Linked DNA regions of Notamacropus eugenii. The protein of the gene in region 1 binds, or shares a complex with, the protein of each later gene. Links are inferred from orthologs where the notes say so. Each region holds a gene or a part of one and is shown on either strand. Other genes may lie near its edges. The genes, in order: LMAN1 and MCFD2.

Region 1 (11,887 bases):
CAGCAAGAGATAGGTTACATTTAAAATAAAGCTAGACAATGTAAAATGCTATCTGGCAAGACAAACTCATGAACTATATGATGAATACAATTGTAAAACACTTTTCATATACACAAAATAAGTCAGATCTGAACAACTTGAAAAATATCAATTGCTCATTGAGTAGGCTTAGCAAATATAATAAAAATGATAATTCCACCTATATTAATTTGTTCCATGCCATACCAATCAAACTATCAAAAATATCTTGTAGAGCTAGAAAATTTTATTCAGAAGAACAAAAACTCACAAATACCAAGGGAATTAAAAAAAAATGTGAAAGAAGGTAGCCTAGCCACACCAGATCTCAAACTATATTATAAAATGGTAATCATCAAAACAATCTGGCACTAAGTAAGAAATAGAGTGGTGGATCTGTGGAATAGATTAGACACACATTACACAGTACCTAATGACCATAGTAATCTAGTGTTTGAAAAATAGTGATTGAGAAATCCAAAAATCCAAGCTTTTGGGACAAGAACTTACTATTTGACAACAACTCTTGGGAAAACTAGAAAACAGTTGAGCAGAAACTAGGAATAGACCAACATCTCACACTGCATATCAAAACAAGGTCAAAATATGTACATAATTTAGATATAAAGGAGGACATCATAAACAAATTAAGGAGGCATGGAATAGTTTATTTGTCAGATCTATGGAGGAATTTATGACCAAACAAGATGTAGAGAACATTATAGGATGTAAAATGAATAATTTTGATTACACTAAATTAAAAAGGTTTTTGCACAAACAAAACCAATGCAACCAAGATTAAAAGGAAAGCAGAAAACTGAGGGTGGGGAAAGGAAATTTTTACAGCAAGTTTCTCTGATAAAGCCCTCACTTCTCAAATATATAAAGAACTGAGTTAAATTTATAAGAATACAAATCATTCCCAATTGATAAGTAGACAAAGGAGATGACAGGTAGATTTTAGACAAAGAAATTAAAACTGTTTATAGTCATATAAAAAATGCTCTAAATCACTATTGATTAGAAAAATGCAAATTACAACAACTCTGAGTTACCACCTCACACCTACCAGATTGGCCAAAATGACAAAAAAGGAAGATGATAAATGTTGGAGAGGATGTGGGAAATTTGGGACACTAAAGCACTCATGGTACAGTTGTGAACTGATCCAATCATTCTGGAAAGCAGTTTGGAACTCTGCCCAAAGAGCTACAAAACTGCTTACCCTTTGACCCAGAGTTAAAAAAAAGAAAGGAAAAGAACCTATTTGTACAAAAATATTTGTAGCTGTTCATTTTGTGGTGGCAAAGAATTAGAAATTGAGGAGATGCCCATCAATTAGGAAATGACTGAACAAGCTGTCATGGAATACTACTGTGCTATAAGAAATGATGAACAGGAGACTTTCAGAAAAACCTGGAATGACTTACATGAATCGATGCAAAGTGAAGTAAACAGAACATTGTACATAGTAACACCAATCCAGTATGATGTTCGATTATGAATGACTCAGCTACTCTCAATGATACTGTGATCCAAGATAATTCCAATTCCATAGTGAAAAATTCTATCCACTTCTAATGAAATGACGAAGTCTGAATGCATATTAAAGCGCACTATTTTTTAACTTTTTAAAATGTTTTTTCATCTCTGTCTACATTCACAACATGACCAATATGAAAATCTTTGTATATGTATAATGTGTATTATATTGCTTATCATCTAAGTGTAGGGAGGGGGAAAAGGATGGATGGAAAGAGATAATCTGAAATTCAAATTATGAAAAAGAACATTAAAAATTATTTTTACATGTAATTGGAAAAAATAAAAATATCATTAAAACTTCAAAAGTTTAAAAAAGATAAATAGGTGTTCAATTTTGTTAACAGCCTTTCCCGAATTTATTGATTTAATCATGTGGTTTTTTTATGATTTACGTTATGTGATATATTTATAATCTTCCTTGTTTTGAAACAAATCTACATTCCTGGTATCTTTTGAATCTGGTCAGAATGTACAATCTTTTGAATATGTTGCTATTAGCCTATTTGCAAATATTTTATTTAGAAATTTTGCATTAACGTTCATTAGGGATATTGGCCAATAGTTTTCTTTTTCTGTTTTGTCTTTCCCTAATTTAGGCATCAAGACCATGTTTACATCATAGAAAAAATATCAGAAGGGTGCTTTCCTTTCCTGTTATTGCAATTAGATTATGTAATAATAGAATTAATTTTTCTTTTAATGTTTGATAGAATTCACTTGTAAATCCATCTAGTCCCAGAGTTTTGTTTTTTTTAAACGGAATTCATTTTTGACTTATTCCATTTCTTTTTCTGATACTGGATTATTCAAATACTCTATTATTTTGTGAATCTGAGTATTTTATATTCTTGTAAGTATTCATCCATTTTCTCTAAGTTATCAGTTTACTACTATGTAATTGGACAAAATTGTTTCTGATAATTTGCTTCATACCTTTTTCAATTACTCTGAATTCTCCTTTTTCATTCTTGATAAGAACAATTTTGTTTTCCTCTCTCCTATTAAAGTCAAACTGGTAGATTTTATTTCATTTGCTTTTTTTAAAGCTCCTCGTTTTATTTATCAATATGTTGTATGATATTGTTTTTGCTTTCAGTTTTTATTAACCTCTTCTTTTCAGAATTTTTAGTTTGTTGCTTAGTGGAGATATTTGCTGTTCTTTGTGTTTTAGTTTCATACTCTACTTGTTATTTCTTTCTATAAAAGCATTTAGAAACAAAAATTTTTCCCATAGAACTATTTTAGCTTCATCCCATAAGTTTCATTATCTGATTAGTATAGCTTTCTGTGAAGAAATTATCTATTGTCAGTCATTCAACAAGCATTTATTAAGCTCCTACTCAATACAGGGCACTGCAATAAGCATTGAGGGTGTACAAAAAGACAAAAAGCAATCTGTGCTCTCATAGAGCTCACAGCATAATGGGGGAGACAATATGAAAACAATGTATAAACAAATTTATCAGGATAAATCAGAGGTAATCAACAGAAGGAAGGTTTGTTCCTTAACCTGCCTGTTTTTAAAAATTGTTCATCTTCAACTGGTTTTTCATTCTTTCTTCAATGGCCCTTTGTTGAATAAAAATTTTATTGTGATCAGTAAATGGTGTGTTTCACATTTATGACTTTCTACATTTTTGAGTGCCCTGAATATATGATCATTTTTTGCAAAGGTGCCATGTACAGATGATTAGTGTATAAATTCCTTTCTAGTCCCATACAATAATTGCTAATTGCTATCATCTCTAATTTTAAAAAAATTCTATTCAGGTCCTCACCTTTGTTCTTGTTCTCTTTTTTAAACCTCTTTTTTTATTCTAGACTTAAATATTAAAACTTAAATGCACAATAGAGAAAAGAAAAAGAAACATATTATAAAATTAAACATTGAAACTTAAATATAAAATCTTGTTTCTTTTTTGGTTAGATTTGTTTAAGTATGAAAAGCATACATTGAGATCTCTCACTATTATAGTTTTGCTACCTATTGCTTCTCCCAATCTGATTAACTTTTCTTGTAAATATTGAGATGATATGCAATTTAGTTCATACATATTAAATATTCATATGAATTCATTATTTATGGTACCTTTAAACATAATGTAGTTTCCCTGCTTATTTCTTTTCTTATCATGTCTATATTTAATGTAACCTTATGTGAAACTCATAATTATTATTCTTGATTTTTTGACTTAAGTTGCAGATTAATAGATTTTGTTAAAAGTCTTCCTTATAATTCTATATGAATCTTTATGTTTTAAATGATTTTTTTTTGGTAAATAACATAGTGCTGGATCGTTTTTTAATCCATTATGCTATTTTATGGGTGAGTTGACTTTTTTCACTCACTGACTTTTATGACTATGATTGTTAACTGTATATTTCTCTCCATCCTATCCTTAGACTTTCTTTGTTCTCACCCTCGGGGGGGGGGGGGCGGTGCCAATTCCTGTCATCCTGATCCATATCTGGCCACTGGATCTAGATGACTCTGGAGGAGAAAGTGAGGCTGGTGACTTTGCACAGCCCTGCCTCACTTAAATCCAATTCAGTTGCAGGTCATGGCATCACAGCTTTCTGATGTCATGGTCCTCTGAGAATGAGAGGCAAACACCAACAAACTCTCTCTTTACAAATAAGAAGATGGTAAAAAAAAACCAAAACAGTTTGCCTGATGTGTTCTATAAATGAAATGGTCTGTTTCCACTCTTGCAACTCTTTTACTCCCCTTGTTCTGCCCTAATTCTGGGTTTTTACTCTTTGTTCCTTTTCTTTTAATCTCCCTTTCATTTTCCCTTTTTCTGATATTCAAGTTTATTTTGTTTATGACTATTCCCTTGCCCATTCTGTCCATCCTCTCAAACTTTTTTCCACCGTTCCCTTTTATTCATCTCCTATTTCCTTTTGGGGTTTAATGAATTTCTATCCTAAGATGTGTGTGTGTGTGTGTGTGTGTGAATGCACACAACATGCACAGCGTAAAGTTGTGTTCAATCTTCCTTTATCCAGTTTAGTGGAGTTCATGAAATGGCTATACCATCCATCCCTTTTTCCATATTTAAAAACTATTCATCATAGGCACCTCTTTAATACAACAGTGACTTCTCTCTCCTTCCTCCTCTTTTTTTCCCCCAAAGTATAATTTCTTATCTCCATGAATAATCAGAGGATCCCACTCCTAGGACTATCTCCATTACACAATTATGGTATGCTTAATGCTTAAACTGCATCCAGTTTTAGTTAGAATAGGCTCCCGGAACTCTCCAGAAAGCTTGCTAATGTGGCATATTTATAATTCTACCTTCCTCATCCTGAGTGGGCTCATTTAAAAACATTTTTAAATAGCCAATTTTTAGAAACCTCCTCTTTTGCTACTGGTCCATGCTTCCTGACCCAGTGACAAGATGGCTACTACAGTAGAACTTGTCTGAAAATCTTTTGTAAGCAAGAACACCCAGGAACTCTTAGACATCCACCAGAGAGTACATCCCACCACTTATCCACATCACCATACAGAATGTTACCCCTGGGGATGGGTGAAGACAAGACAGGCCACATGAGACTATTTCTGATTTCATCTATCCACATCCTCCTCTGCTGGTTGTGAATATTAATGAACCATTCTAACCATCCCAGTGTTACTGTAAGTCACTCATCCAAATTCTGCCCCAAGTTTGCATGATGTTCCTATTTTAGTCTTCTAAGACCATCAAAACAAAACTATCTAAAGTTCTTCTGTCATGGTTCTGAGAAATCATTAGTTTCTTATTCCTCTGTTAGCATGTAAACAATTCATCCCCATGTTTTCCTTTCCAGTTAAAAAGATATATTTATCTATGTTTCTTTGGTTCCTGTATTTCCATTTCAAACTGTCTACTCATTTCTTGCCCTTTCATCAGGAATGCTTAGAAATATACTATTTAATTAAAGGTTCATTTTTATCCTTTCATTTTATCCTTAGTTTTGCCAGATAAGTTATTCTTATTTGTAAGTCTCCTTTACCTTTTGAGTGCTGGAATATTATGTTCTAACCTCTTCTCTTCTTTACAGTGGCAGCTACCAAAACTTGGGGTGTATGGAGTGTTCAAGAAAGACTAGCACCTCTGGTGTAAGGGCTTGCTGAGCCCTTTTCAGGGCTGCTCATCCACCTTTGGTGTTCACCTGTCACCTACCTCTCACCTGTGGCTCCAAGAAGCCAACAGGTACAGTGGCCACTTCCCATGAAAACTAACTCAGCAGACGGGCTAATCTAGTTTGAGGGTAACGGTCAGGCCTGAAAATCCATTGGTTAGTTACGAGGATGTCTTAACTAGTATAATACCTGTCTGTACCACTCATTTGTTCCTCACTCTAAACTAGTACCTGAATAAGCCTCAAGGGGCCAAGGTCTCCCAGTGCACCCTGGGTCATCTCCAGTCATCCTGATGAATATCTGGTCACTGGATTCGGATGGCTCTGGAGGAGAAGTGAGGCTGGTGACCTGCACAGCCCTCCCTCCCTCAAAACAAAGTCAAGTGCAAGTCATGTCATTATTTCTCTGATGGCATGGTCCTCTTTGGCAATGAAGGATGGACACAACAACCTGTGAGTAGACCCAGCCTCCTGAATGGGGACCCAGCTAGCGGATAACTCAGCGCCTCCTCTCCTGTCTGTCTCCCCCTCCCTTTCTTTCTCCTTGTCAGGTAAGCAGGGCATAAGTTCAAATCAGGTGAGCTGCCACCATGGAGGGGGCAGGCCGCTCTCCTGACCACGCCCCTTATGACCACGCCCCGCACAGGACCCCGCCCCCAGGTACCCGGCCACGCTGCCGCGGGAAGGAGGTGGTGCCGGTGGGCGTGGCTTCCCCCGGCCCCGAGGAGGGGGCCGGCGGCTCCACCAATCACGGAGCGCCCTGTTGGCCGTTCGCTCGGTGTTTCGTTCCCAGCTGCCGGCGGGCCGCCTTGTCCCAGAATCCAAGATGGCGGGATCCAGGAGCGGGGGTCCCCGGGCCGGGGCCGGGGCCGGGGCCGGGCCGCTTGTCTGCGCGCTGCTGCTGTCTCTGAGCCGTTTCTCCAGCGCCCAAGGAGAGGACGGGGACCCCGCGCTGGGCGGCGGGGCTTCCGCCGCCTCCCTGGCCCCGCCGCCCCATCGCCGGTTCGAGTACAAGTACAGCTTCAAAGGGCCGCATCTGGTGCAGAGCGACGGGACCGTGCCCTTCTGGGCCCACGCGGGGAGTAAGTGCGGACCCCAGAACCCGCCCCTCCGCGGCCCCGCTCGGCTACGGCGGGGAAGCCCCCTGGGGGGAGGGGGCGTCGCTCCCCTCCCCCCCCTCCCCGCTGCCCCACCACCCCCCCCCTCCCCCCAGCCCGGCCCTCTGCGGCGCCGCTTCCCCGCTCCCTCCCCACCTCCGCGGGAACCTTTGGTTTCTTGCATCAGGTTTCAGTCCTTCGGTCCCGCCACGTATCGCTCGGGGGATCCCGCCCCCTTTCCCTGCCAGTGGCCGGGCTCCCTGTGCTGGGGGCCGGGCTCCTGCTCGGCGGCTTCTCACTTAACGGGGGGCGAGGCGTGGCTTTTAAGAAGAATTAAATAATCATCCTGAGGGACCATTGGCTTAATTTGTAATGGTTCACTTTATTTTACCCATTTAAGGGCACCGTTCCGAGAAGGGGTCCTTAGGCGCCCCCGGACTTGCAGGGGAGGTGGGGGGGGGGACAGGACGCGCACACCCAGACTTGGGAGCTTTCAGTCCACAAGCGTTCAGTGCTCCGCGCCTTTGCCCAGGCCCTCCCCCAAGTGCACCCTCTCCCATTCCCTTGGGCCTCCTCTGTGCCTCCGACTTGATCCCCCCGTCCCGGTTCCGGCCGCCAGGGCGCCACTTCGGAATTACTTTGTATTTACCGCGTACGTCCTTTGTACTTTAAGTGTTCCTCCTCTTTTCCTTTTAGAACACAAGCTTCTCGAAGGTAGCCGTGGGTTCCTTTAAGGCACGAATCCCTGGTGCTTGGCACATAGTAGCCGCTTGGCACCTGCTCTCTCCACAGAGGCTTGTTGGTTGTGGGGAGAACCCCGCTTGGGGTTAGTGATATAAAAAATTAGGGTGGAAAAAGGGATCCATCCTCTCCTGGAGCACTACGGTCCATAAAGGAGGGAATTTCATTTAAGTCTTACCTTACTTATGATTTATGCCCTCCACGGCACCTGAGATGATTTGTTGGTTTTCGTGGCATTCAGCAAATTCTTTGATATCAGAGAACAGATTTCAGTCTGTGGCTCCTTTAAGGAGTAACTTGGCCCTTTCTTATATTGTAAGGCATGGAACTTTATATGGACTCATTTTTTAAAAGAGGATCTTTTTAGACTTTTTTGTAGTTTTGTATACACTTAGGAATTCATAGGATTAGAAATTCAGACATAGTTAGGGATCTCAGGCCATCTAGGACTGCCCCCTCATGCTACAAATGAGGAAACTTACCCTCCCCACCCAGCCAGTTTCTAAGGTGGGATTTGAACCCAGTTTCTCTGACTCCAGAGCCATTGTTCTTCCTACTGTACCCAGCTGCCAAATCATGCTAACTTTATGTCTTCAGTTTTTCGTTTGATCTTATAACCCTCAAGATTTTAAATGTGTTTGGAGTCATTATTTCTAAAGGTGTGTTGTTAAAGCATTTTCTTATGTGAAAGAAAAGTTCTTCAGATTTTAGTAAGAATGGGTCACTATTTACTGATGTGGCAGTCGTGCATTTTATGCAGTAAATTCTGTTTGGTAACTGACCGTCCACTCTGAAAATAAGGATTTTTCACCAAAGTATTTATTGTAGATTGGACTCTGGTTATCATTACTTAATTGTAAATAATTAAACACTATGTAACTTACATATATACTTTTATTTGTAGATTTGTATGCTTTGATCAAAATACAGTACTTCATGGCATTGGTTTCTGAGTTGAGCATATATGCAGGCAGAACCCTTCTGTTGCATTTTAAGGATTAACGTTACAAACTCCTTTAGAGCCTGTCCCTTTTGTATCCCTTCAGCTCAGCATATAGGCAGTCAGTATTTGTTGGATGAAAGACCAGCTTTAGGGGTACAATTTGTTTTTTTGAATGGAGCTAGGTAACAGGCCCACATACAGAATCCATAACCTTGGCTTCATTAGCTTCCCTGTAGTCAGCTGAACTAACCTGCCACAGATTGTTGAGTTGATGTGATTTTCTTTATTAGGGTTTATTTAGTAAACACTGAAATGTGAGATTCAGTGCGATTCCTCAAACATTAAGTGTTTTGTAATGTGTGCCAACACTGGAGCAGATACAACAGTTAAGTGAAGCAATTTCCTGTCCTTGTGGAGCTTATGATTTATTAGACAGATAATACAATGTTTATGAATAACTCTAATACAAAAGAGAATGTCCTAAGAAGAAACAGCATGTTACGGATGACTACATTCTTGAAGTAGTAAAGACCTGCATTCAAATCTTGCCTGTAACTCACAAAAACTTTGTGTCTGTGGTTAAGTCACTTGTCACTGCTCTAATCAGTTTTTCTTTTTTTTTTTTTGTTAAGGTACCAAATTTTATTTTATTTTATTTTATTTTTTTAATTATTTTTTAATGTTTAACAATCACTGCCATACAATTGAGATTTTATCCCCCCCACACCTACCCCCCACTACCCCCCTCCCTCCCCACGACTGCATACAATTCTGTATAGGTTCTACATATACTTTCCTATTGAGTATATTTTCACTATAGTCATGCTATGTAGTCAGACTAAAATAAATGAAAGAAATCATATAACAAATCAAAACATGATACACAAACACATACACATACACAAACATGATCTGCTACATTTTGTGAATGACTTCCATATTTCTTTCTCTGAGTGTGGAAGGCATTTTGCCTTGAGAACCACCATTGGGATTTTTTTTTTTTTATAAGAAGTTCTTGCATTATTACAAAATTCCAAGTCTACCAGAAAAAACTCTCGCACACTGTGGTCGTTGCTGTGCAGAAAGTTCTCCTGGTTCTGCTCCTTTCACTCAGCATCAGGTCATATAAGTCCTTCCAGGCCTCTCTGAAGTCTTCTTTCTAATCAGTTTTTCAAGACAATTAGTTATAAATCAGTGACTGATAAGCCTTGGTGGAAAGAGTTGACAAGCCAGAAAGTCTCTACACTGATGAAATCACAGGTCCAAACCACCCTCTGCAGTCCCTCCCCAAATCCTGTGTGTGTGTGTATACATAGATTTTTGGTGTGTGCGTATTTGTTTTTCTGTGTGTATTTGGTCTAAGCTATCTAAGGAAGAAAAAAGATAATTTCTTATTGGGATGAGAGTAGGCAATCAGGGGAGGTTGCATGGCATTTGATCTAAGTATTGAAAGATAAGGAGGATGTCATTATATAGAACTTGGTTGAGGACAGAAGACAGAGGTATGCCATTAATCACAGGGAAACTGTGAGGAAGGGAAATGTAAGTATGGAATATTTTGGATTTTGGTCCCAATTCTAATCCTGGGAATCACTTTTATGAATGTCAACCGTATTAACTCGCAGCGTACATAGATTCGTAGACATACATAGACTGTTAAAATGAAAGGTATTTTAAAGATCATCTGGTTTACCTTCTTTGCAGTCTTTATATACATTTAAATTTCTAAACCCCTTCTTTCTCTCTTTTCACCTTTAAGTACAATGTAAGAGTTGGGAAATTAGATGAGTAGAGTTTGAAGATCTTTTATTACAAATTTTTTTAAAAACCCATAATGTATGTGTCTCTAATTTAATTTCTCTTCCTTTGTGCCCTTAATATTCTACCACTGTAGGAGGCAGAACTGGTTTGATTAAGTTCCCGATATGGTGTTTTGTGCCAGTGAGTTCAGTGAAGGGTAATGGTAACAATGAAGAATATCCAACCTTGTCCAATTGTTTTAACTTTTCTTTTCCTTAATATTCCCATCTGTGTTTACCCCATAGTAATAGATTTGGCTTGGACTGTTGTCTGTCTTCATATAGATCAAATCACAGAATTTAATGCCAGAAGGAACCTTAGAGACCATCTATTGTAATATGAATGTTAGAGATAAGATAACTGAGATTCAGAGAGGTTATGACTTGTTCAGGGTCATATAGTCAGTAATAGAGTCTTGACCTCCAGCCCAGCGTTCTTTTCCATATAGCACGGTACTTCCCTGTTTGAACTTGGAAAAAAGAAAGAATAATGCTCCTTTCCTTCTTATGGGAGTATTATAGAAAGTCCTTTTGAGATATTCAAAGGATATTATTAAATATAAATCGTGTACAAAGAACCTAACTTCAAACTTTTCCTTTTCAGTTATAATTCTTTATTGTTTCTCCCTAAGAATTTTAAATATATAACTGTAACTTTCTTTAATCATAGGTGTTCAAGCACAAGTCTGACCATGTTACTCCCCTGCGCAGAAACCTTCAGTGGCCCTGTTACTTCTAGGGTGAAATATAGTAGTTGGACATGTAATATCCCTCATGGTCTAGTCCTAACCTACCTTTCTAGGCTTGTTTCACAACTTTCACATATCCAGTCTCTTGCCAAGTTTTATCATTCCTACCTTTACAGCATCGTTTTTATAATTCCCTTTGTCTCTCCATGAACAGTCACTGCCTTGGGACAGGCTGTTATCACCTCATGCCTGGACTGTTGCCATAGCCTTCTGGTTGAGCGCTTTGCTTCAAGCTTCTCTCCACTCCACTCCAGTCTCCATTCAGCTGCCGAGGTGGTTTTTGTATGACCATGTCACTCCCCTATTCAGTAAACTCCAGTGACTCAGTTCCTTCTAGATCAAGTGAAAAATGCCCTGTTTAGCATTTAAAGTCCTTCACACCCTGGCCCCTTCCTATCTTTCCAGTCTTCTTACATGTCATTCCACTCCACATATTGCATGATCCAGTGACACTGATCTTCGTGTTGTCCTTTGAACATGCTGCTGTGTCTCCTAACTGTGTACCTTTTTTTTTGGACTGCCCCCCATGCCAGGAATGCGCTTTCTCCTTATCTTTGTCTTCTGGCTTCCCTGGCTTCCTTCAGGACTCAGCTAGACTCACCTTTGGCGGGAGGTCTTTCCAGCTCCTTCTCGTTGCTAGTATTTTCCTTCTGAAATTACCTCCCATCTACTTGGTATATGTTCTGTATATGCATAGTTACTTACTGTTGTCTTCTCCTTTAGAATGTGAGCTCTTTTGAGAGGGCTGCGATTCTGCTTTTCTTTATCAAGCGCTGAGCACTATGCCTAGCATGTACTAGGCACTTAATATGTATTTATTGATTTATTTGAATGACTTTGCATATTTTGCATACTAACTTACTT
Region 2 (11,316 bases), on another chromosome or scaffold:
TCCTAATGAAACTTCCCTGCTGACCTCAACCCACACTTTTCTCCTCTGAACCTCTATGTCAAAAAACAAGCATGTATTAAGATCTCCCCATGTGCCAGGGTGTCTGCCCTATCCATTTGGTATTCATCACAGAAATAACTTAAGAATCGGAAGGAAATTTAGAGATTATCTAGTTCATTTAGCAGATAAGGACACTGAGGAGAAGAGAAGTAAAGTCATTTGTCTGGGGTCACACAGCTGAGATCAGAATGACTGGTACGAAATTCTAGCCAATACACTCTGTTATCTCAGGCTGCCCCTCTTTATCTTTTTAAAAGTTATGCTTCTTATTGTTTATAATAATACTAATATCATTGATATAGCACTTTAAAGTTTACAGGGTGCATTACATATATTAATTCATTTTATCCTTGCAATAATAGCCCAGTGAAAGAGTTGCTTTTATTATTCTTATTTTACAAATGAAGAAACTGAGATACAAAGGTGTCTACATGCTGATATGTGTCTGAGGCAGGATTTGAACTCGGATTTTCCTGACTTCAAGTCCTGAACTCTGTCCACTGCATCATCTAGCTGTTCTCTATTAATGTTATTTTTCAAGAAACAAATATTTTAAAAAATTAATCTGTCCTTCCCATTATTTCCTTTCCTCCATTGAACAAACAAAAAAAGAAACCACTGAAAAACGAATCCCTCAAAACACATTGACACAGTCCAACAAAAAAAGGCAAGTCAAAAAGCATTTATTAAGTACTTGTGATGTGCTATAGGGCAGCTAGGTGGCACAGAGGAAGACTCATCTTCTTGAATTCAAATCTGGCATCAGACACTTACTGGCTGTATGCTCATAGAAAAGTCACTAAATCCTGTTTGCCTCAGTTTCCTCATTTGTAAATGAACTGGAGAAGGAAACAGAAAACCATTCCAATATCTCTGCCAAGAAAACCCCAAATGGGGTCCTGAAGAGTCTGATGCAACTGACCAATAGCAACAGCTATTCATATGTTTCATAGATCTTTATATCTAGCCCCTGTCTTTCTCCTGAGCTCCAGTTATATATCACCAATCTCCTACTAGATATTCCAAACTGGAGACTCAGATATATCCCAATACTGGAAACTCAATATATCCCAAACAGAACTCATTATCTCTCTTCCCAAATTCACTTTTCTTCCAAAATTTCACCAAAATGCCATCCATTCTTACAGTCTTCCATATTTGCAGCCTTGGCACTATCCTTGTCTCTTCACTCTTCCTCACCCCATATATCTAATTGGTTGCCAAATCTTGCCATTTTTACCTTCATAATCTCTTTAGAATCTGAACTCTTCTTTCCATTCACACAGCCACCACCTTAGGTTACTTAGATTATTGCAACACACTCCTTTAATTGGTCTCCTTGCCACAAACCTTGTCCCTCTTCCAGACAACAGGAGAAAAAAGTGATTTTCCTTAAGTGCATGTAATCACCCTCCTCAATGAACTTCAGTGGCTATGGACTTTAAAATACAAATTTTTTTATTTGTCTATTAAAGTCATTCACAACCTGGCTTCCAATCTATTCCTCAAGCCTCATTGAACATTACTGTCCCCTCCCACACTAAAGTCCAGCCAGCCACACTAGCCTTCTCTCTCTGTTCCTTGTTGTTCCTCACACTCTTATCTCCTTTCTCCTTGCTTTTAACCAGCCATCCCCAATGCCTGAAATGGATTCCTTCCTGTTTCATTCACAGAATCCTTCTCTTGAAGTCACAACTGAAGCACCAGCTTCTTTAGGAAGCTGAACCACTCCTCAGCTCCTGGCAACTTCCCTTCCAAAGCACCTTGAATTTAACTAGCTTATATTTATTTTCTTTATTTTTTAATATAAATATTTACTCATTCAGAGGAGAGATTTAATCTTTTGTTTTCCTAGCGCTTAGAACAGCATCTGTCACAAGGAGGTGCTTAATATATGCTTGTTGATTAATAATTGTCCATTTTATGATTTATATATGTATACACACATACACGTACACAAAACAGCTTTGCCTCATAGTATTATAAATTGTGTGCCTGTAAGTGTCAAACTGTCTTAGTATGTTAGGTGTCCAAGCCATAATTAGATCAAGGGTAACTGGAATTTTTCCCCAAGGGACTGAATTTAAGAGTATGCTGAAAGCATCCATGTTTATTTGGCAGGGGTTGGCAAACTATGACCCATGGGCCAGAGTCTGCTATCTCTGTAGGACACAAGGCACAAACTATCTGAGGTTTCTCTGGTGGGTTCCATTAGCCAAAAGAGAAAGTTCATTTAGTCTGACTCCAAGTCATACTGATGTACTTTTTGTCATGAAGAAGCCTGTAGAAGAAATAGTAAATATTTTAGGGCACTTACATATTAGCTAACTGATTAACTGAAGATCTCAATCTTCTTAGTAGAATGCCAAGTGTGAATCTGAGTAGAGGGAGGTTAGAAGCTTAAGGAGATTAGGGGACTTTGGAGAATCAATATGGAATGAAGAAAAGGATTGCTCAACTGAAGTTGAGATGAATTTCCAGTAAGCTAATCCTACACAGGTCAACATCTGTTTATATAGACTTTGTCTCAGGGTCACTGAAAATAGTTTGGGCTTTTTGGGAAGAACCCCTTGACTGACCTTCACTATGCATTTTGTATGTTTATCAAAATGATATTGAATCAAATCACCAAATAGTTGTTAAGTGCCTACTCTGTACAATTAATTATTAAGCATTTACTAACGCTAGACCCTGAGGATATGAAGACAAAAATGGAATCATCCTTGTCCTCAAGGTTTACAATTCTATCAATGGATACCTCTGTGATTGATTCTGTGGGGGTTACAAAGACAAATAAAACAGTCTCTGCCTTCAAAAAACCCCTTAATAGGGAAAGAAACTTTTGTCCAAGAAGCTTTTGTTCAAGCTGGAAGAGACATTAAAATCAATCTAGTCCATTACACCCCTCATTTTACAGATAAGGAAACAAAGGCCTGTATTGGGTACAGGTGGAAGTGATTTGTCCATGGTTATTCAGGTTTTAAATAAAAAAGTGGGATTCAAGCCCATATCATCTAGACTCTAGATCTAGTCCTTTACTGCAACACTCTGCAGAAGTTGTTGTTCAGCCTTCATTTTCAGAGAGGACCAATGACATCATAAGACCGATGACTTGCTCATGAATTAGATTTAAGTGAAGCAGAGCTGCACACAGTTGTTGGCCTCATTCTCTCTTCCAGAGTCCTAAATGTGCAGAGGCAGGACAAAAGTCAAGGCGACTGACGATGGCCTGGGAATGCCATGGTGAGCTGGGTGTCTTCAATATCTGACCAGGCTCTGAGCACTTACACAGTGTCTGCTTTAGCCTTCTTCATGGATGTCACCCAACCGTTCTGCAGGAAAAAGTCATCACTGAAGAAATTAGTAGGAAGGAGAAATTATTTTAGCCTGAGGATGCCACAGAAAGCTTTCTGGAAGAGGTAAGTTTGAAGCAGGGCCTTGAAGGATGGGCAGTGTGTGTATGTGTGTGTATGTGTGTGTATGTGTGTATGTGTGTGTGTGTGTGTGTGTGTGTGTTGGGGCAGGGTATGGAAATCTAGGTTGCAGGAATGGAGTGGAGGGTGAAAGTAGACCTCCTCCTCGTCTTCTTCCATAACTCTGGATCCTTATTTTTGGTGTTTTCTTCACAAGCCACTAAATGCACTAAACCCCCAAAATTTATAGCAGCACTTTTTGGAGTAGTTAGAGAACTGGAAACAAAGTAGTGTCTATTGATTGGGAATGGACAAGCAAATTATGGTATGTGAATGTAATAGCAGATTACTGTCCTGTAGAAAAAAATAGATATGATGAATAAAGGAAAATGTGGCAAGACTTACATGAACTGAAGCAGTGGGGAGTAGGCAAAGTCAAGAAAACAATATACACAGTTAATACAACATTGTAAAGGGAATAAGGGATTGAATGGTCTATGGAATACAAGGTCCCATTGTGCTAATTGTTTTTTTAATCCAATTTTATTTTGTATTCAGTTGTGAATTTTTTCCTTCCCTTTTCCTCTCTTCCACCTGTCCAGAAATCAAGAAAAACAAAACCCATTATAAATATGTCCAGGCATGAAAAACAAATCTCTGCATTTAGTTATGTCCACAAAAAAAAAAAGGAAGGAAAAAAATAAGCTTCCATTTGTCCACTGAATCCATCAACTCTGTCTGGATGTGGATAGTATATTTCATCATGAGTTCTTTGGAATTTTGGTTAGTGTGTAGGTTGGGCAGCTAGGTGGTGCAGTGGATAGAGCACCATGCAGGAGTCAGGAGGACCTGAGTTCAAATCTCACCTCAGACACTTGACACTCACTAGCTGTGTGACCTTGGGCAAGTCACTTAACCCCAATTGCCTCATCCTGGGTCATCTCCAGTCATCCTGATGAATGTCTGGTCACTGGAATCAGCTGGCTCTGGAGGAAAAGTGAGGCTGGTGACCTGCACAGCCCTCCCTCACTCAGAACAAAGTCCAGGGCAAGTCATGTCATCATTTCTCTGAAGGCCTGGTCTCCTTCAGCAAGGAAGGACCAACACACACAAGTCTTTCCCAGTTGATCATTAGTTCCTACACGGCTTTCCAGGTTTTTCTGAAGCCATTTCCTCAGTCGCTTCTTACAGAACAATCATACACCATAATTTGTTGAGCCAGTCCCCAGCAGATGGGCACCCCTTCACTTCCCAATTCTTTGCCCCCCCAAATCTGCTATGAATATTTATATACGTAGGGTCCTTTCCCTCTTTTTTTAAATGTATGCTCTTTGGAGCATACGCCCAGCGGCACAGCTGAGCCAAAGGCATGCACCCTGAACACACCTCCGGGCACTGTTCCATCTGCTTTCCAGAACGGTTGGACCGGTTCACCGTTCCACCAGCGGGGCATTCCAGGACTCTTTTCCCACGGCCCCTCCAGCATGGGTCATTTTCCTCTTTCGACAGCTTTGACAACCTGACGGATGTAGCGTGGTCCCTCAGCGTTATTTTAATTTGCGTTTCTCTAGCTTTCTCAATTTAGAGCCTTTTTTTTCATATGGCTGTCGAAAACATTGAATATATCTTCACGATGTCTATAGAGGCCCAGGTTTGAGATTCCCTCAGATGCAGTTTTGAGGTCGGCCACTGGGGGGCCCCCCGCAGGCCAGGCCTTTGGCGTGTTTGGTCGCTAGGCAACTAGGCGCCCTCTCCCCCTCCCCCCTCCTCCCTCCCCGTCTCTCTCTATGGGGGAGGGGAGTCAGGGGGCGGAGCCTCACCTCGGGGGCGGGGTCTGGGGGGCAGACGCGGAAGGTTCCGCCCCTCCGCCACAGCCCGATTACACGTGGACTGCTCTGAGAGACGCCACCAGCTGGGCTCCGGGAAGTGAGAAGGCGGGGCGGAGAGGTGTCCAATGGGCGAGCGGTAACGGAATGCGCATGCGCCGGAAAAGAGTTCCCGAAGGGGAGGAGCGAGCGAGGGAAGAAAACGGGAACGCGGGACCGGGACTCCTGAGGAGCTGTCTGGTGAGCTCGGCGTTCAGGGCTGCCGGACCCCGGCTCACTGACTGCGGCCTGGGTGAGTTGAGGGGGGCCGGGTTCTGGGGCTCCGGGCTCCCCAACTCTGGCCTGGAGGCGGCTTCCGGCGGGGCAGCCCAGCCTAGGTAACGGGACCGAGATTAACGGAGCCGGGGGCGGAGAGGGGGGCTCCCGAGGGGTTCTGGGAAGATCCAGCCCTGGCATCCGGTGAACCGGGCCGAGACACGGCACTGCGGAGACTGGGAGGCGGCCCGGCAGGGAGGGGTCTGAGGACCCTGGGAGCGAAAGAGAGGCCTGGGGACCTGGTGACCAGGGGAGCAGGGGGGAGGGAGATGGGGAGTGGGGAGCAGGACCGGGCTCTGGGGTCTTGGGGAGGGCCAGGGGTACCTGGGGAGCAGGGTCTGGAGAGCCGGGGGGAGGGAGATGGGGAGTGGGGAGCAGGACCGGGCTCTGGGGACTTGGGGAGGGCCAGGGGGACCTGGGGAGCAGGGTCTGGAGAGCCGGGGGGAGGGAGATGGGGAGTGGGGAGCAGGACCGGGCTCTGGGGACTTGGGGAGGGCCAGGGGGACCTGGGGAGCAGGGTCTGGAGAGCCGGGGGGAGGGAGATGGGGAGTGGGGAGCAGGACCGGGCTCTGGGGACTTGGGGAGGGCCAGGGGGACCTGGGGAGCAGGGTCTGGAGAGCCGGGGGGAGGGAGATGGGGAGTGGGGATCAGGACCTCTGGGGTCTTGGGGAGGGCCAGGGGGACCTGCTCGGGGTCTGGATGGGCAGAGGTCCCAGAGCACGCTGAGCTGGTGGGATCCAGAGTGCAGGGGGCCCTGGGCGCTGGGCTGTGAAGCGAAGGGTCCCCAAAGGGCCGCAGCCTGTGCCTCCCTGGCACCCCAGGCAGCAGCTGCATCTTGTTCCCTGCCTGGAGCCGGACGGGCACAGCTGCAGCGTCTGACCTCCTCCCCTGCCCTGGTGCTTCAGGGCTCTGTCCAGGGTCTTGGCTGGGACCCTTACAAAGGTCAGAATCAGGGCTGTTTCCCGAGGTCCCTGCTTGTAAAACCTCCTTTCGAGGGGAGCAGTCAGCACAGGCTACCTGCCACTCACCAAGCATATGCTTCCTCTCCCATTCCAGCCGAGAGCAGAGGTGTTGTGAAATAGTATGGTAGATGTGGAGTCAGCCAGACCCAGGTCAAACCCCCCCCCCCCCCCCCCCCCCCGACCTTGAACACATACACTGCTGTGGTTCCCTGGGCCAGTCAGTTATCTTCTTTGTTGCCTCAGTCTCCCCTTCTGTAAAACGAGGGGATTGGGCTCTGTGGTGTTCTAGGTCCTTTCTGACTCTTAAGGGTGTGATACTGCTATCTCCACGGGCAAAATTGTGGATTGACTAACTTGCCTTTGTCACTTGCTTTGGGTAGAGGTTATCTGGGGCACAATGTTCATGGCATCAGTAAGGCACTCCAGGAGTGTTGTTTTTACTTCCAGCTGCTAACAGATCATGGTCATTTTGGGGAGGTAAGAGGGTAAGCAAATACTTTCAAATTCTAACCTGACTAATGATAACTTGGTTGGTAAGAGAAGATCTCAAAGTCCCTTCTGACACTGTGTTCTTCAGGAATGACAAAGCTGCCCAAAGGATCACTGGATCCTAGAATTCAAGCTGTAAGAGAACCACAGAGGGAGTCTAGTCCCATCCTCTCATTTTACAGATGAAAAAAATAGGTCTAGTTAAGCTCAGTGACTTTTCCAAGGTCACACAGGTTGTACAGGGCGGTATTAGGAACTGAACTCAAGTCATTTGACTCCAAATCCAGCACCACTTGGGAGGTTTTGAGATCCTTCTCTGGTTCAGGAATACACATCCTGAAGCCCATCAGATTCAGTTCACTCTGCTCAAATGCTAAGCCCTTGGTCTGGCTTGTTGATGATGCCTCGCTCTTGAGGCAGAGGAGGGTTGCTTCTTTTTTTAAGTGAGTGTTTTGAACTTGGATTGGATCATAAGATGCTGGCCCTCAAATTGTCATACCCAAGCCAGGGCATGATTTGGGGTGTTCTGTTTTCTCCTCTGTTCAGTTGGTTTGTTCCTTCTTGTTCCTGAGAGTTAGAAACATATGGTAATCACTGCTTTCAGAGGGAGCTAAGCAAGGTGCTGTGAGGGGGATTGAGCCAAATACGCCAAATGTTATTTGTGGCATTTTTGGATTTGACAGCGAATGCACAAATTGGGAATGTCTGGGAAGACCTGGCATTCCTACCCCTTCTCACATTTCTCAGAAATATAAGGCCTGAATAGCAACTCCTAGTAGTGATTTAAGTTCTAACAATGTAGCAGAGGCACATTCACTGCTGAGATTTGACTCTTTCAAAGTTAGAATCTGACTGTTTTCCACTTTTTTTGTTGCTGTTGCTGTTTATTTGTTTCAGTCACATCCAACTCTTTGTGACCCCATTTGGGGTTTTCTTGGCAAAGATATTTGAGTGAGTCGCCATTTCTTTCTCTGGCTCATTTTACAGATGAGGTAACTAAGCCACACAGGATTAAGTGACTTGCTCAGGGTCACACAACTGCTAGGTGTCTGAAGGCTGCATTTGAACTCAGGTCTTCCCTGACTCCAAGCTTAGCAATCTATCCACTGTGCCACCTAGTTGCCCTACTTTTTTGTTCTAATAAGATGGCAGTTAACATGAAAACTTATTCCACATGGTACAGAACAAATTTCATCATGAAGAGTATCTCTGTGTTCAGTGAGACTCCTGGGGGGGTGGAGGTGTGTATGTGTATGTGTATGTGTTGAATCTTCTACACCAATACTTTGAGGCATATCTGTCAGAATGGGTGCCTGCCTTTCTGGGGAGTGCTGGGGTAGTGTTGCCAAGGATGATGCCATCCCTCCAATTTTCCTGCCTCTTTTTAATTGGTGACGTTATTTTAACATTAGTTATCTCCTTGAACGTTTCTTCCACTCTACATTGAAACTTCCTTATAACAGAGAAAACCAGTTCTGCAGAATAAACTGACAAAGCATGAAATCTGAGAGTACACACAGCCTCCTGTACCCCCACACTCTACTCCCCAGTCAGGTGAGGGATAAGTGCTTTTCATCTGTTCTTGGGAATCAGGATTGTTCCACAGGCCGTTTTTAGACAAAGAAACCAAAGCTATCTATAGTCATGAAAAAATGCTCAGAATCACTATTGGTCAGAGAAATTCAAATTAAAACAACAATAAGTTGTTTTACCAGAGCAGCTAATATGACACAAAAGGAAAATATTGAATGTTGGAGGGGATGTGAGAAAACTGGGACACTAATGCACTGTTGGTAGAGTTGTGAACTGATCCAACCATTCTGGAGAGCAATTTGGAACTATGCCCATGATATCACTGCTAAGTTTGTATCCCAAAGACATCCCCAAAAAGGGAAATGCACCTGTTTGTACAAAAATATTTACAGCAGCTCTATTTGTGATGCCTAAGAATTGGAAATGGCAAGCATGGTGATTTCGGAAAAACCTGCAAAGACTTACATGAACTGATGCATAGTGAAGTGTATTCAACAGTATAATAATATTGTTGAATGAAGAACTGTGAATGACTTAGCTGGTCTCAGCAACGCAGTGATCCAAGACAGTCCCAAAGGATTAATGATGAAGCATACTATCCGCCTCCAGAGAAAGAAGTGATACTGATTGAATACAGACTGAAGCATGCTATTTTTCACTTTCTTTCATTTTTTTTCTTTTATTCAAGTCTTCTTGTACAAAATGGCTAATATGGAAATGTTCTACATAATTGCAAAAAAAAAAAATTAGAGTTTTGGGGGGGACTGTTCCATTGTAATTAACTGATGTTAAGTCACCCTTTAGTCTTATTTTCACCTGTGCTGTTGAAGTTGTGGTAAACGTTCTCTTGGTTCAGCTTTCTTTGTGTCTGTCACTTCATACTAGTCTTTCCACATTCATCTGAATTCCATGTTTTTGCTGTTTGCCACATCTAGCTTAAGAATCTTCTACTGTTTACATGTCATTCTCCAGTCACTTTGTTGCCAGCTTTTTGCTACCACAGAGTGTTCTTTTGAATATTGTCTTATCCCTAGGACTTTCCTCGTTACTTACCCCCTTAGGTCATATACCCAATACCACTCAAACTATCTTGTGAGGATGGAGATAGGGATGGAGCAGGCAGAGGACAGTGACCTTTGGATCGTAGCTGTTCTTTGCAAAAGATGAGGAGAACAAATGTCTCCTGTGCCCCAGATGCCCCTGCCCTTGCCGTTGCTGAGTTTGGGGTGATGGGGAGATGGGGAGCATTTTAAGGCTTCAGCCCATGCTGTAACTCAAAGGACAGTCTGGATCAGGGAGTCTCGGCAGGACCTGTGGTCCCCCTCTGGAAAGTGATCCTCCATCTCCCCAGTTATTGCATCCATTGGGCCTTTGTACCTCATGCTGTTTGCCCACTTTGATTGTTTATGCACCTGCCACCTCCAGACCAGATGGTTGACTCATTGAAGGCCTGGGACTTTTTGCCTTTAATTGTTGCAGATTGGAACTTCTTGGCAACTCAGACTGTGCCAAGTCTCTGGGCTCCTCCATCTCCATAGCACCTAATCGTTTCACATCTGTTGTGCCATTCATTAGATCATCTCAGTAGCTGGATGAGACAGGTAGACCAGGGCTTGTTAGACCCTGTTTGACAGATAAATAGTCTAAAGTCACACCTTGAGCTGGGGACAGACCTAGGACTCTTTCTTGTAGCACTGCTCCCCTCCTTCCCCCTTTCCCTCCCAATGTCAGCGGATCAGTTGCCTCTTTGAATTAGCAGGAATGATGACTGGATCTGAAATCCTTATGGGAATCTTAGGTGTAATTCATGCCTTTCCTATCACCCTCTGTGTTTCCTCCTCTTATTAGACATGTATTTAAGCTTGTGGAAGATGCTTAGAGCCACTCTCCTGTGCTGCCTCCTGGGGGCATTTGGCTTCCTGAGTGCTGGGGCAGAAGAACCTGTGGACAGCCATAGCCATGCTGGTGTTCGCCTGGATAAGAACATGGTGCAGGACAAAGAGTATGTGTTATGGGGGCTTCCCTGTGCTAGAGATTGGGCCTGTCAGTTGCAGCTGTCGCTGCACCCAGAACATTATTTTTTTCCTGAAACATATTCCAGTTTCTGATTTTATTTGATCTAAGCAGCAAATCTGGGCAGTGGGTAAGTCATAACAGTTATTATCTTCAATTATATGGATGGGGAAACTGAGGCCCAGAGAAGTTAAGTGAGTTAGTGGTACAGCCACCACTGGAGCCTACCTTTCTTGTCTCCTAGCCTCCCCCATATCTTTCCCCTTGGTGTATGAGAAAAAACCTCTTAGTGTTGTATTCATCCCTAAAACTTCTTTGTTCTGGGGGGGTCAGGTAACCGTGGCAGGCCTGGCCTTTTACCATTGCATTTGTCTACTGCCATTATCATTTGCTGCTCTGAGATAAAATGTCTGAGCTTTAAGTGGTGGTTGCAGTCAGACCTGCTCATTCACATGTTCCTCCTGTGTTGTAGTCTTCACAAAGCCTCCACAGTGCTCTCAGCCTGATTGTTGATTTTTAGGCACATCATGGAACACCTCGAAGGCGTCATTGAGAAAAGTGAGTCGGAGATGTCTCCACAAGAGCTGCAGCTCCATTACTTCAAGATGCATGACTATGATGGCAATAATTTGCTTGATGGCTTAGAACTTGCCACTGCTATCTCTCATGTCCATAAGGAGGTGAGTAAGAAGCCTACCCAGGAGG

What was found.
Region 2: the proteins of LMAN1 (region 1) and MCFD2 are in contact, whole or in part, in a cryo-EM structure (PDB 8JP5), measured with the Homo sapiens proteins. The link is inferred for Notamacropus eugenii from reciprocal best matches to the Homo sapiens genes LMAN1 and MCFD2. Residues at the interface, in NP_005561.1 of Homo sapiens: His43, Arg44, Arg45, Phe46, Tyr48, Lys49, Ser51, Phe52, Lys53, Pro55, His56, Gln59, Ser60, Asp61, Val64, Pro65, Phe66, Trp67, Lys96, Phe265, Glu273, Lys279, Glu280, Ile281, Glu285, Lys286, Tyr289, Glu292, Phe293, Phe296; in NP_001164977.1 of Homo sapiens: Val59, Ile60, Asn61, Lys62, Gln70, Glu71, Leu74, His75, Phe77, Lys78, Tyr82, Asp83, Asn86, Asp89, Gly90, Leu91, Glu92, Thr95, Thr98, His99, Val100, Leu111, Glu114, Leu117, Ile118, Ile121, Asp122, Leu125, Asp129, Lys130.

The regions. Positions count from the first base shown.
Region 1 is NC_092875.1:430,481,567-430,493,453, forward strand, and holds the start of LMAN1 (protein ERGIC-53), read left to right. Parts: upstream 1-6,468; 5' UTR 6,469-6,520; coding exon 6,521-6,776; intron 6,777-11,887. UniProt on the Homo sapiens protein: Mannose-specific lectin. May recognize sugar residues of glycoproteins, glycolipids, or glycosylphosphatidyl inositol anchors and may be involved in the sorting or recycling of proteins, lipids, or both.
Region 2 is NC_092872.1:661,875,000-661,886,315, forward strand, and holds the start of MCFD2 (multiple coagulation factor deficiency protein 2), read left to right. Parts: upstream 1-5,375; 5' UTR 5,376-5,446; coding exon 5,447-5,591; exon of another isoform or gene 5,592-5,676; intron 5,677-8,528; exon of another isoform or gene 8,529-8,619; intron 8,620-10,446; coding exon 10,447-10,600; intron 10,601-11,131; coding exon 11,132-11,291; intron 11,292-11,316. UniProt on the Homo sapiens protein: The MCFD2-LMAN1 complex forms a specific cargo receptor for the ER-to-Golgi transport of selected proteins. Plays a role in the secretion of coagulation factors.